Neodiprion lecontei: one gene and its partners. The protein of the gene in region 1 binds, or shares a complex with, the protein of each later gene. Links are inferred from orthologs where the notes say so. Each region holds a gene or a part of one and is shown on either strand. Other genes may lie near its edges.

Region 1 (3,103 bases):
AATAACTTCAATTGATAGCAGACATAAAGATTTTAAATTTCATGGAATACGAATCAAGGTTTACGTCAACGCACCCAATTAAAAGTGCGGTAACAGTTCATTAAACAGAGAAAACCAAAGAAGATGAACATAACCTCACATTTACGTAACAGGATAAGTCGTAATTATTATTCACCTGGCCAGTATGCGTTTCTTTTTCGACGGGCTCCCAAGAAGCTTTGTTACGTATTCCGGTTGTGAAAGCCGGGACGTTTATTTTGCAAACTTTCGTTTGATTCCCAAGCAGACAGACAACTTTCTTGCACGCCATATTCACAACTACTGATCGGCTAATCTGTCTGAAGTTGCAGTGAGATAACAGCTGACTCACGGCTCTCGCTGCGCGACAGTTTCATAAACCTGTTCAAATGAGTACTCACCGTAGTATCTCAACGTGTTTCCCCGACCCGTGCACAAGTATCACAAGTGTTCAAGATACGAGAAAAGTATACCAATTATACGTTTCTTAATCCCTAATTTTTTGCTCTATTGAAAATAAAAATAGCAAGTTAAGCGATGAAGATAGTCGATTATTTCACAGATCGTTGTGATGTTCTCTCCGTATATTTTGCAAGTCTCATGCATGATGTTGATCAACTCAAAGTACTACAGCAATCAAACCATAACAGTTTTTTATAGAAATGATTATTATAATCCAATGGTGTAGTTAGATTCAAATACATAGATACGTATATGATGAATATCTCCGTGACATGCTACAATTAAAACATAACATTTCTTTACAAGTTAGAAAACCTGTATAACCTAGGGTAATTTCATAGTACAAACACTTATTAAATAAATATTTATTTGGTTCTTGGTTTGTTTTGGGGTTTGTTGCCACCTTGATTACCACCTCGACCTAAAGGCGCAGGGCCTCTTCCCCCACGTCCTCCGAAAGTGCCTGAAAGAACATAAGCATAAACTATGAAATCTCAAAATTCCTTTAATTGCTTCATTTAATGTGATTTTGACTATCGAATACCTCTGCCACCACCTCCACCTCCACCTCCGCCTCCGCCTCGACCGCCTCGTTGATTTTGACCGCCACGTCCTTTCATTTCACCTCGTCCCCTCGATTTCATTTGAACGTCTTCTTTAACCATGTCTATAACTTCATCTGGAATTCTAAGATACTTAATGGTACTACCACGAATGTAGCATTCTGGCATCCTCCAAAATTTGTCACCATCCTGTATTGACAATTTGTTATGATGATTAGCAATGATAGTATAGAATAAACTCAATAATTTACAGCAATTTTTATAAACACATTGCAATGAAAGTAGACTTTCCAAGGATGGTTAAACTGGAATGGAACTTTCAGCCTTACAGTACTGCACACATTATTTAACGAGTTTTTGGACGAGGTTACATTCAATGCTGTGCCCGTAGTAAATGTAAGCAAGCTAATTGAACGCCAACTGAGATTACCCTGGATGTGCAGATGACTTCTCTGAGATTAATGTTCATCCAATTATCACAGCTAACCAAGTGTCCATTGTATGTTTCCCCATTTTTGAGTTCGACGAGCTGAAATAAAAAATACCAAACTACAATTGGCAATAAGTAATGAAACGACTAGAATTTTGAGGTTAAGATTTACCATAGGATGATTTTGTGCTGTTCTCAACAATGAAAGCGGTAGCTGGAAAATGAAAGAACATTATTATTTGAATTTATTAAACCATCTACTGATCATAATTTTAGCATGATCAAACTTTACCATTTTTAAAACCTTCCCGCACGATTTGTTACGTGTGAAGTTTTAAACACTTTCAATTTCGACTAATGAAGTAATAAGTCAACATCACAATTCACAGCTGATATCGACCATATCGACTACATCGCCTATCGACTAGCGAGCTTCGATGCAAAAGTTTTTTACACTGTTTTTTTTACCGTCATATAATGCATATAAATTACCAAATGCGACTCGCGAGAGAAAGAAGTTAGGCTTAATGAAATCGATGCCAGAGTGCAGCACTCTTCAGATTACTGCACGGAGGGAATATGCTGAGGATTTAAAACTAACTAATTTTGATTCATATGAGAGGTAATTACAAAACATGAAATGAAAAGCTAATTTATTAAAAATGAAGAATTTACGTCTTCACACTGACTTGGCTCACGGATGACCATTTCAAAAATCTTGATTCTTGGCGCTGCCGACGGCTGACCATATTTTCGTTCAAACTTAGCCAACTTCTCTAAACTCCCGCGTTGGTGGTGCGAGCGCCACACGAACGCTACATTACTAGGCAGAGGATGCAGAAAATGCTTCTCTTCCGTATATTTTTCGGACACTCCTATGAAGCAATATGAAAGCTCGACTCACCGGCGAGATTTGAACGATGTTACTCCACTTTTTTTTAACTGAATTCTGACCCACCCAATCTCAGAATATGATTTGACTCATACGAATTCCAACATTACTCATACAGTTGGCTGAAGAATTTTGCATAGGGCCCGTAGAGAAATTACAACGAATAGCTTTATTTTGATACTATACGATTGGCGATTTATTGAGTAATATATATTTCTGTGTCAACATATATACATATACATATGTACATATACACGCGAAAAAACACACTGAGTCCTTAAACTATAAGTGTACATACAATACGTAAAGTTTGTATATACTTCGCTTATATACTCCAAGTAAGACTATTCAGTGTAATTTCATTGTTACTTAACAATATTGACTGCTTGGGTTGGTAACTATTCTATATTATACGTGTATTCGCAAGATCTTATCATACGTAATGTTTATATAGAGGTATAGATTATATTGTATGTAAATGTGTGTGTGTATATGTATGTATATTTTATATATATATTTAAAAGTTTGTTTCTACGAGCAGGGTGTTTATAATCCATCAACAAATGTGTATTACATACGAATATAGGTATATGTATACATGAATAATGAATTAGATCAACCGCGTACCTGCACGAGTAGGACTGTAAAATGTGTCAAGATTGGTCCGGAAAGTTTATGGGGAGGTGATCCTTCAGCTTCATCTTGGTTATCGCTATACTTCTAATGGAAATTAATATA
Region 2 (2,581 bases), about 29 Mb from region 1:
GGATGAGGGACCATTGAACTGTCAAGAGCGATTAAATATCTTCAAGGCAATTACTTTCGCTATTCAATTCTGTCACCGAGCTGGCGTGGTTCATGCCGATGTGAAGCCAAAAAATATTCTCATGGCCGCAGATGGCAACCCAAAATTAGCAGATTTTGGTAGCTCCGTTCTTTTGGGGGAAGAAGACACATATACAGGAATTCGAGTAGGTTTTTTAGTTTTGCATCACGATTTCATTCCCTAAATCACCAGGTTTATGCCATATTTTCAGGGTACACCTGGTTATGTAGCCCCAGAAGTAATCAGAGGGGAATTACCCTCTCCACCTTCAGACATATATTCCCTGGGAATTTTGGCCTGGCAAATGCTAAGCAGGACTTTGCCATTCGCTGACCTCCATCCTCACGCTATTTTGTATCTCACTGGGAAAGGTATAAAACCGGAGGATTCAATGCTGGATGATAATTTAGGTGGCAAGTATAAAGCGTTGTATTCAAAGATGTGGTCATTTGAAAAAACAGATAGACCCAGTATAGATGGAGTTGCAACGGAGCTTCAAGATTTAGAGGTCGAAGCAAAGTGTTGAAGTTAATTAGAAATGGCAAAGGCTCAATGATGATACGGGATAAAAGGAAGACAATGCAGAAATGTTTACAAAAGAAAATCATTGTTATTTGAATAAATTTTTACAATCACATAGCAGTAAATGTCAAAAGTATTATACATGAAATCACAGGGGATGAGATTATGTTTCTGGCATATCACCTCCAGGTACTAACTGAAACAGGAAAGAAAAAATGATAGTCAAACTGTTGCAATAAACCTTGTTGTGCATTTTAAACACATCATGCTATCGAAATGTATTTGTATTTCCATATTAACCATCGTAATGTTATTTCCATTGAGGAGGATCTGATCCAATTTTGTAACTCTGCGTCCCTCGGGTGTTGCTTCGCTTTCAGTCACATCATCCAATAACATATTCACAAAGTCATCAAATCCTTGTAATGTACCCACAATTTCTTTATCATTTTTCATGATAATGTGAATGCGGGAGCCGATGCACTTGTCCACCAATTCTGTAAAGTAAAATTCAATGAAATAAAACATCAGTTAATAGAGAAAATTAAGATGATCGATAATGAGCAAGGTTGCAGAAAATACGAGAATGTAAAAGACACGTGGACTACCCCGAACTAATGGCATATATTTTAAAACGTATTTTAAAAATACACAAAAAATAAATAATAAACAACGTCGTTCTGTCGTTAGATCATAGAGGTTAGGAAAAATTTCGTTATTATTTTATTTATTTACCTAGCGGCAAAAGCGTGGATGGATTCGTAGTCACAGAGCTAGTCATTTTGGGAACAGAATAGTCTCGTCAATCGGTATTAATATACCCTCACTTTTTAACCAACTAACAATCAACTAATTAAGCGGGACGGCAATCCGGACGTCCTGTAAAATGACTACGCGTCGTTGGATTCGAAACACCGGTAGTTGCGCGCACATTGCCGTTGCCGTCGTGCTTATATCGCATGGAGGTGGCTTCCCAGTAAAAGGCAATTGCCGTACACTCTGTCTCTCTCGCTCTGCGCTGCGATTGGCCGAACGCGCATATCTCGTAATGCTCAGCCAATCAGAGTGTAGAGAAAGAGAGACAGAGTATACTGGCATTGCCCTTTGGCCGTTGCCCATTTGGCGCATATTATTCAGTGATGATTCGATGTCGACAGCAGCGCCGCCGCGACGGTCGACGGGAGAAGCAGAAGGTATCAGCGGCGAGGTTCAGCAGCAATGTAGAATTTGTAGCCGAACATGGCAGAAGTATAACTCTTTCGTTATTTGTGTGATTTTGTAAATGTGCCAATGTGCGAGCAATATGAGTTACGTTAAAAGTTATTTTCCAATTAGACATGACAATTGTATTAAGTTAGTGATTCAAAGTGATTTCCCGGAGTTAACTGTACCGAGGTAAGAGATATCACAATATTCATTTTAATTGTTGTGTCCGATGGGGTGGATTTGACAAGCTCTCTACTATCCGTAGATACATAGCTATTAATACATATATATCTACATGCAACTTCTAGTATCTAATTATAATATCGTTGTAATGAAACAACAACGGTTATGTATAATACGCACGTCGCTTTGTTAGATGTATCATCAAACAATGTCAAAGGGGACGTTTTGTTCACGCTGTATATACCTACTTCAGAGGCTGTCTACCCAGCTCCCTGACCACGCGATTTTTTTTTTCTTTTTCTCTCTTTCTCGCTAACGTACAGACTTCCCGATTGATTTGCCCCGTGAACACTCACCGAATGGACTTGGTATCTGGATACCTAGTCACTCTTCCATCCTAATTTACACATGGTATATTATCCGTTGAAAATGATGAAAAAATGATAACAAAAACACCCCGTCTTCTGTTATGATACCATCGAAATGTTCTATTCTATCACCTCATATTCCGGTTGCCGCACAATTTTCGCCTCTACAAATTTATTACGCACATATATACGTGCGTGTATGCATGCGTACGAACACGCCAAATACATATTCCATTTTGCAT
Region 3 (3,048 bases), on another chromosome or scaffold:
TTTTATGACTAATTGGACCACCAGGAACTCAGAAAACGCACCAAAAAGAGCGTGGTACCAACAGTAAAGATAGTATGAAGAAAGTAGGGAGAAATTATCTAGGTGTTATTTATTTTATTCCAGGTTATGTAAAATCGTAACATTCCAATCTATTGTATCTATTGTATTCTATTACACGTCTCGTTTTCTGCGACGGTGAATTGCACCTGTACTAAGGCTGAAATTGAAACCGCACTTAGAAACTGCATTAATAATTATTTTGTACAACATTGTTTATATTCAGCTTAATGCAATATATATCGTAGTATTTTTTCCCTATGCTGTATTTAGACTCCTTGTGTCATGTTAGTTCATTGTTCTGCAACTTTTTATCTTGAACACCAATAACGTTGGAAATATTATCCTAATTATACCAGTGAATGTATTATTATAGGAATTATTGATATATTATATCATGAATACTATAATGCATTAGTGCAACATATTAGAACTATACTATTTGGAAATTTGGTAAATTAGTATACACTGACACCTGAACACTTGTAATAGAACTAAGGTACATTGAATAAACTGGAACTGGAACTTGGTAGCTATGAATTTGTTATTTTTCTCTTCCACCTCTTTGCAACTCGGTTTGCCAGCCGTAATGAATTCCTCTCTCAAAATTACGTTGATATTGGGTATGAATTAATCGATTTCAGCATTCACTAAAATTTGCCAAATATGACCTGAAAAGTTAAAAGAATTTACATTTTTTGCGATATTTGAAACAAAAATTTTTTTTATCTCAGCATCGATTTGTGCGATCCTTACTAGGCTAATTAGACCCCACAGAAGTCATATAAGGCTTTCAAAACCTTGTGAGATCAACAGCTGAAGAGACACGTAAAAAAATTTCCGTTCAGAGATGACAAATTTTATACCAATGAAATTCAAAAGGTTAAAAAGTTAGCCTTTCTTTTTTACGGCCAAAAAAATTTCATCTCACAAATCCGCAACGTCTTTGCTCACTTAATTCGTTCTATTTTCTACTTTCCACGTAATCAAAATCATACTTCCCACTAAATTCCACGTCAGAAGATCATTTCCATAAAGTTGACCATCTACATGTGTCGGTACGTCTTCGGTTTATGGTCGATGGCTTTTTTCCTTATTTTACGAACGCGGAATTCACAGTAATCATTCGTATTATTAACCGGCGGTCACTTGTTTTTTTACTACTTGGAATAACCTGAGAAGTAAAACATGTCTGTAAGTTTATCAAGACATACATCATGATTATAATACTCGGTACTATTACCTATAAATATGAAAGTTAATTGTCATTCCATAAATTTCTATTTTACAGACTGCTAATAAGGTAAATCAAGGTTATGTTTCAGCAACATAACCTTCAAAAATCGTCAAAGTCCATAAACTTAACTGTTATAATAACTTGAATAATGTTTTTAGAACCAAAATGCTCACACTGATCACAAGGAGAAGAAAAGGAAGGAAAGTATATTGGATCTCTCCAAATACCTTGAGAAGAACATAAGGGTAAAGTTTGCCGGAGGCAGGGAAGCTGCAGGAATTCTAAAAGGATATGATCCGCTCCTGAATCTTGTTTTAGACAACACGACTGAATATCTTAGAGGTACATCGTAGTCAATTAATCAGTTACCGTCTGTCCTTATAAGTCAAATTATTGATATTACCGCTTTGATAATTGGTTTGAAATCACTCAATTTTCAGAGTAATAACAAATGAGTAACATTGTGGATGATTGTGCCGTTTTCAGATCCAGATGATCCCTACAAATTGAATCAGGATACAAGGATGCTGGGGTTAGTTGTATGCCGAGGAACGTCGGTTGTTCTAATATGTCCAGTCGATGGAATGGAATCGATACAGAACCCATTCATTCAGCAAGATGGTTAACGGTTTATATTACACAAATTTTTATCTACAACCTTTTCGAATCACATAAGCTTGAAGAAAAAAACAGACCTGACACGCCATGTGTGCACATCCATCGACCATCGGTTTATGATTTGTTTCAAATGACTATGGATTGGTAAAACTCGAACATCTATCCTAACCACACGATGATCGATTTATTTTTACGTTCCACTACTAGATAATAAATATCATTTGTGGTTTTCTTCTCATGGTAGATACACATATAATACGTTCTTCGTACAAATAAATATCCTACTTACAACTAATTAAGGTACTCAGTCATATTCGAACAAATTACAAGCAAATCTCTGTGGTAATTACACACTCTAGATGTAACTACGTAAGTTCTTAAAATTATGGCATATTGCGTGATATTCTTATTGATCTAATTTCACCCTCAATTGATTTGTGAGAAAGAAGAGAAGTAAGTAAAATACAACGCAAGAAGAAAAACCGTTACCTTAGTTCAATCCAAACTCATTTCTTAACCAGGGATATTGTTTCGGACATTCGTAACACGTGTACAAATATCTATCAGACTTTAAGACACTACTGTACAACTTGCACGTGTTCGGCAAGGCGCAGGCAATTTCCCGGGGCTCGAATTGCCGCTTGTTGCAGTTCCATGGCTGAAAATTCTTTAGCTTGTTTAACGGCGTTGGATTTCGCATCCATTCAACCATTTGATTACTAGTTACAAAGTAAACGTCTGGAAGCTGCAGAGTGTCGTCAATGAATTTCTGGAATACAGAATAATAATCAATACATAACATGCTTGTAAATTGAAGGACTTTACTAATTTTGTGACGATTCTTAACGACGAGATGACAAAAGTTGACTATTACCGAGAACGCGTAGTGGTATGCTGGGTTCTTGAACCAAGCTGCATGAAAGTAGAGTCCATAGGGTGCCCGATTTTGTAGATAATGTCTGTTAAAGTTAACCGTCAGCATACGATATATTTCTTCCCCTGACAGATCCCGCGTACAAGAGTCAATCATGGTGCACGTGTAATTCTAAAACACGAACCGAAACAGCGATTAAATAGAAACTTCAGAGACCAATATTCCATGCCTCGAGGAGATATTCTTACCCCTAGCAGCAGTT

What was found. Proteins that work in one complex are often made in the same cells at the same time.
Region 2: U6 snRNA-associated Sm-like protein LSm4 (region 1) and U6 snRNA-associated Sm-like protein LSm5 share a complex: the UniProt entries of both Homo sapiens proteins name them as parts of the precatalytic spliceosome. The link is inferred for Neodiprion lecontei from reciprocal best matches to the Homo sapiens genes LSM4 and LSM5.
Region 3: U6 snRNA-associated Sm-like protein LSm4 (region 1) and U6 snRNA-associated Sm-like protein LSm7 share a complex: the UniProt entries of both Homo sapiens proteins name them as parts of the precatalytic spliceosome. The link is inferred for Neodiprion lecontei from reciprocal best matches to the Homo sapiens genes LSM4 and LSM7.

What each region holds. Positions count from the first base shown.
Region 1 is NC_060261.1:34,776,157-34,779,259, forward strand, and holds U6 snRNA-associated Sm-like protein LSm4, read right to left. Parts: upstream 1,968-3,103; 5' UTR 1,769-1,967; coding exon 1,766-1,768; intron 1,688-1,765; coding exon 1,646-1,687; intron 1,573-1,645; coding exon 1,474-1,572; intron 1,233-1,473; coding exon 1,025-1,232; intron 944-1,024; coding exon 846-943; 3' UTR 588-845; downstream 1-587. Other genes in the region: NADH dehydrogenase [ubiquinone] iron-sulfur protein 6, mitochondrial, read right to left, coding at 176-310. UniProt on the Homo sapiens protein: Plays a role in pre-mRNA splicing as component of the U4/U6-U5 tri-snRNP complex that is involved in spliceosome assembly, and as component of the precatalytic spliceosome (spliceosome B complex).
Region 2 is NC_060261.1:5,614,697-5,617,277, reverse strand, and holds U6 snRNA-associated Sm-like protein LSm5, read right to left. Parts: upstream 1,543-2,581; 5' UTR 1,364-1,542; coding exon 1,318-1,363; intron 1,080-1,317; coding exon 883-1,079; intron 779-882; coding exon 746-778; 3' UTR 649-745; downstream 1-648. Other genes in the region: serine/threonine-protein kinase mos, read left to right, coding at 1-205, 272-586. UniProt on the Homo sapiens protein: Plays a role in pre-mRNA splicing as component of the U4/U6-U5 tri-snRNP complex that is involved in spliceosome assembly, and as component of the precatalytic spliceosome (spliceosome B complex).
Region 3 is NC_060260.1:39,228,767-39,231,814, reverse strand, and holds U6 snRNA-associated Sm-like protein LSm7, read left to right. Parts: upstream 1-1,169; 5' UTR 1,170-1,245; coding exon 1,246-1,251; intron 1,252-1,348; coding exon 1,349-1,360; intron 1,361-1,452; coding exon 1,453-1,636; intron 1,637-1,780; coding exon 1,781-1,920; 3' UTR 1,921-2,400; downstream 2,401-3,048. Other genes in the region: chitin deacetylase 1, read right to left, coding at 2,403-2,681, 2,787-2,957, 3,035-3,048. UniProt on the Homo sapiens protein: Plays a role in pre-mRNA splicing as component of the U4/U6-U5 tri-snRNP complex that is involved in spliceosome assembly, and as component of the precatalytic spliceosome (spliceosome B complex).